Linked DNA regions of Oryzias latipes. The protein of the gene in region 1 purifies or fractionates together with the protein of each later gene. This does not show direct contact. Links are inferred from orthologs where the notes say so. Each region holds a gene or a part of one and is shown on either strand. Other genes may lie near its edges.

The links. Proteins that work in one complex are often made in the same cells at the same time.
Region 2: the proteins of timm50 (region 1) and hdac6 purify together in Homo sapiens (affinity purification with mass spectrometry; 3 studies listed by BioGRID and IntAct, counting the BioPlex papers as one, with this or other methods). This does not show direct contact. The link is inferred for Oryzias latipes from reciprocal best matches to the Homo sapiens genes TIMM50 and HDAC6.

Annotation. Positions count from the first base shown.
Region 1 is NC_019871.2:1,081,697-1,085,975, forward strand, and holds the start of timm50 (mitochondrial import inner membrane translocase subunit TIM50), read right to left. Parts: upstream 2,824-4,279; 5' UTR 2,538-2,823; coding exon 2,328-2,537; intron 255-2,327; coding exon 104-254; intron 1-103. UniProt on the Homo sapiens protein: Essential component of the TIM23 complex, a complex that mediates the translocation of transit peptide-containing proteins across the mitochondrial inner membrane. Has some phosphatase activity in vitro; however such activity may not be relevant in vivo.
Region 2 is NC_019865.2:34,297,401-34,301,050, forward strand, and holds part of hdac6 (histone deacetylase 6), read right to left. Parts: intron 1,823-3,650; coding exon 1,755-1,822; intron 1,678-1,754; coding exon 1,530-1,677; intron 1,436-1,529; coding exon 1,307-1,435; intron 1,238-1,306; coding exon 1,069-1,237; intron 1-1,068.

The DNA.
Region 1 (4,279 bases):
GCACAAAGACCAAACCGAGGAGCAGGAAGTGGGATTCTGCAGGTTGTTGCGTTTGTGAAGCTGATCACAGAAAACACTTCTGACTTTGACTGACAGCACTCACCGAAGATGTAGACGATGCTGACAGCCCCGCCCAGCCCCATGAGGCCCGCCAAGCGCAGAACCATCTTCTTGGCGTAGGCGGTGTTCTCCTTCTTGTCCTCCGCCCGCTCTCCCTCCTTCTCGCCCTCTGGGGGAGGAGGTGGGGGCTGGCCCTGGTCCAACACAGTTCACACACATCAAGGTTTCATCCATCACATCTGCAGCTGCCGTTTCCTGCAGCATGTGAACGCAGCACGACCATCAGGGAAGTTCAGCATCTCTGAACGCCGACTGCTTCAGCCTCGCCAATCCTCACCGACACGGTTCCTTCGGGCGCCGCATACAACCCCGGTGATAAAGACCGCTCCTTTTAGGCTTTGAGCTAGCAGCCCAAAGACGAGAAAAGCTGAAAGTTCTGTTCTAACCGCCCCTTCTGACGCCTGCTGCAGCATTTGGGAGCAAAGGGCAGTTCTCAGAGACGCTCCAGAACCGCCCGGCGGTGAAGAACAACGGCAGGTCGACTCTGACCGTCCAGTCCAGGGGTCGCCGCCCTGCGACCTCCCTGAGCTGCATGTGGGTCTCTGTGGTTTTGTAAAATAACTATCATGTTCTGAGATTGTCGTGGTGCCTTTAGGGCGAGCGGGCAGGAGGAAGAGAGCAGCGTGAACGTGCGGAGGGGGCGTGTCTGCAGCTGTGGCGCTATCGTAGGGGGCATATGGAAAAAGAAGCCAGTTTTATTTCCTGGACTAAAACGACTCATTTCTGCATAAAAACTCCTCCCATCTGCGTTAGGACGCCCCCACTATCCCGTCAACGTGCTGCTGTGACGACCGCATGTTGGGCTGTCTGTGCAGAACACGCTGGGGGGGGGTGCACGCAGGCGAAAACAACTCAGAGCTACAGAGGTGTGAACAGGTCGACAGATGGGGGCGGGGCTTAGACCCACCGCTTAGCATTCCAGACCTGCAACAAACTAACAGCTGCTTCCTAATAAAACATAAATGTCATCCTTAAATTAATATAATGTATCGTTTACTGGATTTAAATAAATAAATACAAAGGAGTCTGCATCAAAGTGAATCTGTTTCCATCTTCTTAACTCTGGTGTTTGACAGACAGAAAAGTCTATTCAAGGTTGTGAAAATGGACAAAAGATCAAAGGAAACGTCACGCTCATAAATGATTAAATACTTAAATAAATATCCTGACAGCATTTTGAATCAATACAAGTATCACCAAATGAACTATCCCAAAATATATCGGCCAAAAACCATTTTTTCTAACACCCCTAGTGTTGCGGCTCCCTGTGCTTTCATCTCCGTGGGAAACTGATCCAATCGACTCTTTGAGAGGTTCAGGTTTCCGACCCTTGACCTAGAGACTGGATTTATGTCAGAGTTCAGCAGGTCTTCCTCAACATTTGGTCATTATTTATTAAAAACATTGTATTTATCATTCATTTCCTAAAGCAGATTTTAACCCATTTATGTGGTTCTGGGACACGATTTAACCAGACTTCCTTCTTTCAAACTACTTTAGTCATTTGTTTTATTTTTACAGCTAATTTATTTTCTTCTGTATATTTTGGCTGCTGGTGTGTTTATGTCTTTAGCGAATCCAGTTCTAGTTTGCATCAACTCTTTTTGGGGTGGGGGGAGGGACTCTGCCCCAGCCCCCCTGTAACCCCGCTCCGGCCCTGGCCGTGACAGGGATGTTTGAAATGAATGCAGGCAGGAGCCGCAGGAGGTTGAGGAGGGCGGGGATCTGCACCGACCTTCAAAACCAAACAAACCTTCATGTTTTTTATCTGGCAGACAGAACCGAGCGACAACATCAACACCACCCCGACCCGACACCCCCTTGATGGTTCTGGGGCGCTCTACTGGATCCGGTACCCGCCGGTTTAGCTAGCCAGAGAGTGACCGGGAGCTCGTGCGTTAGCTCGTTAACGTGGAGTTCATTCATTCAGGTCCTGAAGCTCTCACGCCGAGTCCACTTACAATACGTCACGCGGACCGAAGTGACGCGGGCGGAGACTTAAAACTAAATACTACAAAAGACTGACTCGGATTTATGACCAGACAGAATAGAAAACAACAACATTTAAGCTAACTGTCAATTCAAGTTTATGTTTCATTCGCTTATACTGGCAGCTTACAAGGGCGGTGCTTCTGTATCTCCATCACAAACGTCGGTGCTCGCTTCAAAAAGATCAGCTGCGAAGTCGTAAATCAAGCGCACCTCACCTGACTCTGCTGCTGCTGCAGTCTCTCCTGGAGGATCGCCTGAGCCAGGCCGCCCGTCGCGCCGCCCGCCCCGGCCGGCGGCTTCTCCGAGGAGAGCGTCCGGATGACGTGCAGCACTGCCGGGGCGGCGGCTCCCGCAGTCCCGCTGCGGAGCCTCAGCAGGCCGCGACCCGTCCGGACACACATGGGGAGCACAGACGCGGTCGACATCTTGGATTTTTGCGCTAGCGACCGGCCAGCGTGCGTGACGCGAGTCAAAAGGACAAACGCTCCTGATTGGTTCTGAGCCACTTGACTGGTAGATGTGACGTCCAATCAGAGGACGGGAAAACTTTATTGAGACACAAAAGGCGGGGCTTAAAGTGATCGGACCAATCAGCTACAAGCAGTAGTCTGACCTTCGATTACAACACTAAAGTGTCGGGGGTTTGATGCTGAGAGGAGGAAAGAGAAGACTTCACCTCCTTTGTACAATGTTTTAAATAAATACATGTATTATTATTAATGTCAAATAAAAAAAATGTGATCTGGTATACAAAGATATATTATTTGGTTTTTATAATGGTAAAAATTCAATAATAACAATAGCAACTTACTGCTCCTATTTATACAAAGTTTGTTCCATCTTCCAGTTTGTCCACCAGATGGTGACCCGGCCCCTTGTGTAACTTTGTCCTGATTTAGGTTCCAAACAGAAGTGTTGATGCCCCATATGGAGGAAGTTACTCCAGAATGGTAGATACTAGACACTCCTGCTATGACCGGTGGACGGAGGAACCACATGCATGTTGATATGTTATTAGTAGTTTTCATCCACGTTAACGAGCACGGACATCAACCTGGACAATGTATCCTCACTCATCCTGTTGACAAATGGTATGACTCGGGAGATACCACCTGCTTTGTACCTGTACCTGTTATTAGTGACCTGAAGGAGGCGCTGTTATACTCTGTATGTTGGAGCAGTTCGGTTCTGGTAATAAAGAGAAGCCGGACTTTCTGCTATGCTGTAACTACAGTATTCCAAAAATCCCTTTGAAACTGTCAAATTTTCATCAACAGGTTCTCTTAGCCTGGGCTCTGATCTACAAACACAACTTTTCTCCACAGACTTGTATTATCTGGAATAACTGAATAACTCAGAGTTCACAATGCAGTATGAAATACCAATAACCCCCAAAGAATTTACAGTTGTGTTTGATGCCGTCCCGTCTGGGCTTTGCATGTTATTCAGGGGTTTCTACAGCGCTCCTCCTCTGACTCTCCATCCTCCTGATGCGTTCAAATCCCCTCTGGTCGTTTCTGCTTCACTTCCGCTAAACAGTTGAACTCAAAAAGCAGAGCTTTGTTTCAAGATCATTTAGTTTCTGTTCCATCAGCTACCTTTGGGCTAATTTCACCTCGAACATTGGATAGAAAAAAGTCTGATCTTTACCGCAAAAATACTTCTTAACAAATAAAGTCGAAGAAATCTCTTTTAAACTCCTACACAGATTTTATCCAGCAAAGCATTACTTGACTAAATTTCAGGCTGACATAAACATCAGTTGTACTTTCTGTCACAAACAACCTGAAACCTGCTCTCATTTATTCTGGTCTGTGAATTCACATACAGATTTTGGAAAAACATTCATAAATTTATGACCGATTCTATTTTTGCTGACATACAACTTTATTATAAAAACATACTTTTTGGTTTTCATAGCTTTGATGTCAAAGACCGTGATGCTTTCTTTTCTGTAAACATGGTATGATTTATGGCTAAATATACACAAAAGCAAATTTTCCAATAAAAAACCTGATTTCTTTGTGTTCAAACTTGAACTGCAGCAATATTGAAAATTAATTACAGCTTCAAAAAACAATTGACATTGTAAATCTTTTGGACTGCTGACATAAATTTACTCTCGCATATTCTCTTTTTATTTTTTTTATTTTTTATTCCATTTTGT
Region 2 (3,650 bases), on another chromosome or scaffold:
TCAAATGTTGATGACTCCACCTTTTTTAACACACTGTCAGCTCAATCTGGCCCAACGTTTGTCACTGGAGGAGATTTCAACCTGGTTCTAGACCCTGAACTCGACAGACTAAGTTCAGCGGGGAAACAGCAAAGCTCGTACTCAGCCGGAACTCTCAGGCAGTGTATGGTTGAAGTGGGTTTCTGCGATACTTGGCGCCTTGTCACCAAAACACCAAAGATTTCACCTTATTTTCTCCTGTTCACCATGCTTACACCTGGTTAGTTAGTAATTTTTTTCAACAAACTCAGCAGGTAGCCGTGCACTGGCACTTGTAATCCGGCAGCTGCAGGCGCATAGTTACATATTGTACAGCAGCCGCCAAGGTTTTTAGCAAAGGTTTTAATTAAACAGCAGCTGGACGATTTTCTTGACATTGGTCAGCCACCACCCTGGCACATTTCAAGGTAGTGCTGTGGTAGTCCAGTTCCCTCTAATTTTTCACATGTCTGTGCTTATGCACAAGCTTCTTGAGCACACTGAGCAAAATTAAACCAATAAATATTTCTCTTCCATTCAATCATCCCACTATACTTTACTCTGCTGCCTGCTTCCAACTGACGCCAATCTCCAATACACACTCTCTGATAACTAACAACTCACTCACAGATAATATGAAGACTTTTACATGGAAAATTTTGAAGAATGTAAGACATTTTAAAAAGAAAAATCAAAGTTTAAGAGCCCAGAGTCAATACTTTGATAGTTGAATGGTTACTGTAGTTGAATATCTTCTTAACATTTTAGGCTTTGTAGAACTCAAAGCTTTTATTTGAATTTGGGGGATTTGAAGGTTTCGCAAGTCATTTTCAAAGGAGTTAAAAAAGTAGTAGTTGGTTGAAAAGCTTAAAAAGTTAAAGAGTTATGAAGTTAAAAGTTTTGAGAGCCCATAGCTATTTATTTTTGCAGTCCCAAAATAGGTAAAGACCCCCAAAATCAGAGACTGCAAACCTGTTCCCTAACCTCGCCTGTAATGTAGTCTATTGGAAGCCTTGTCCTGTAACATATCAGCTACCTGTCAGGTTTTACCTGTCCGTTTAACATATGCTCCACAGCAGCAAAGCAGCTTCCAGCAGCTAGCTGGGCGGACTGGAAGCTCTGATTGCTGATGAAGATGGAGACAAACTCATCCCCCAGCCTGTGAAGGTCTCTGGGCTTCATGGTTGCCGTTGCACTCATCTGTTGGATATGCTGCAAACTGGACAAACACACAGGGTCAGCAAGGTTAATAATGGTGGGGGGTGTCTTATTTGTGGCACCTCCTTACCTGTGACACATAGCCAGCTCCTCCTCTGTTGCCAAGCGACTCTGTATTAGCTGGCAGCGGTCGACTAATCCCAGCTGCTGGTGCCTAGAGAATATCTTGAAGATCCTTTGCGGCTGCTCTGGGTGGTGTCTAAGACATGTCATCAAATAACCACATTTACAGCTGCACCTTTATAGCTTCACCTTTACACCAACATACTCACTCACTTCAGCACAAAGCTCACCTGTCCCACAAATTTACGTGCTCCATCATTCTCTCATCATAGACCAAGCCTGTGATAGTGGCAGCAGCAAGGGCAGGGGCCACAGTTGTTGTGCTTGTGTGACCTGAAACTGTCTTGGTTGAGTCAGCCTCAGCGGAGGAAGTTCCCTCTGTGCAGACAACAGGGAGTTTAATGGAAAGCAGCAAAACTCTGGCTGTGTGCAATGCACATATGAGTGTTTGTTACCCAAAACTTGGAGGAAGGCCCAGTGAACGTACAGTGCAGAGATGGTTTGAGAGATAGAATGCATGGCGCTGAGAGACAGAAAGTTCAAATCAGGAAAGACCGGTGAATTAAACTACAGTCGTGGCCAAAGGTTTTGAGAATTACATAAATATTAGAAATTGGAAAGGTTGCTTCTTAAGTTTTTATAATAGCAATTTGCATATACTCAAGAATGTTATGAAGAGTGATCAGATGAATTGCAATGTCCTTCTTCGCCATGAAATTAACTTAATCCTGAAAAACAACTTTCCACTGCTTTCATTGCCGTCTTTAAAGAACCTGTGAAGATCATTTCAGTAATCGTCTTGTTAACTCAGGAGAGAATGTTGAAGATCATGGTGTCAGGCAGACTGGGTTAGAATGGCAGACTTGACATGTTAAAAGAAGGGTGATGCTTGAAATCATTGATCTTCCATTGGTAACCATGGTAACCTGCAAAGAAACGTGTGCAGCCATCACTGTATTGCATAAAAATGGCTTCATATGCGGGGATATTGTGGCAACTAAGATTGCACCAAAATCGAACATTTATAAGATCATCAAGAACTTCCAGGGAAGAGGTTCAATTCTTGTTAAGAAGGCTTCAGGGCGTCTAGGAAAGTCCAGCAAGCGCCAGGATGGTCTCCTAAAGAGGATTCAGCTGTGGGGTCAGAGTGCCACCAGTGCAGAGCTGCTCAGGAACGGCAGCAGGCAGGTGTGAGCGCATCTGCACACACAGTGAGGCCAAGACTTTAGGAGGAGGGCCTGGTGTCAAGAAGGACAGCAAAGAAGCCACTTCTCTCCAAAAAAAAACCCCATCAGGGACAGATTGATCTCCTGCAAAGAGTATGGTGAATGGACTGCTGAGGACTGGGGCAAAGTCATATTCTCCCATGAAGCCTCTTTCTGATTGTTTGGGAATCTGGAAAAAGGCTTGTCCGGAGAAGAAAAGGTGAGCGCTACCATCAGTCCTGTGTGACGCCAACAGTAAAGCATCCTGAGACCATTCATGTGTGGGGTTGTTTCCCATCCAGGGGAGGGGGCTCACTCACAATTCAGCCCCAAAACACAGGCATGAATAAAGAATAGTACCAAAACACCCTCCAACAATAACTTCTTCCAACAACAGTTTGGTGACAAACATGCATTTTCCAGAACCATGGAGCACCGGGCCATAAGGCTAAAGTGATAACTAAGTGGCTCTGGGACCAAAACATTGAAATTTTGGGTCTATGGCCTGGAAAATCCTCAGATCTTAATCCATTTGAGAACTTGTGGTCAATCCTCAAGAGGCTGGTGGACAAACAAAAACCCACTTATTCCGACAAACTCCAAGAAGTGATTCTGAAAGAAAGGGTTACTATCAGTCAGGAAGTTGATAGAGAGCATGTCCAGTGGAACTGCAGAGGTTCTGAAAAAGAAGGGCCAACACTGCAAATACTGACTTTTTGCATAAATGTCATGTAATTGTCAATAAAAGCACAGAAACAACTGAAACAAAGATCTAAAAACAGTTTTGCAGCAAACTTTGTGAAAACTAATATTTGTTTCATCCTCAAAACTTTTAACCCTTGTTCTATCTTAGATGACCCCCCCCTTCCATTGACGTGTTCTCCCTACCATGACAAAGGTGGATAAAGGTGGAAAGATTTCATGTAATCCATGGACACCAGTGTCATTGAAGAAAAAAGGTTCAGAGCACTGTCTAGTGGGTCTAGATGACCCAACTCCCAACGTTAAAGTGCCTAGGATAGCACAAGGGTTAACCCATTACTGTAGAACAGCAGATAATCTGACCCAGATGCTGATATATTCAACCATGATGCACTTCAATCTTGATGTTTAGAGTTTCAACCCCAATGTCTTCAGCCCTGATAT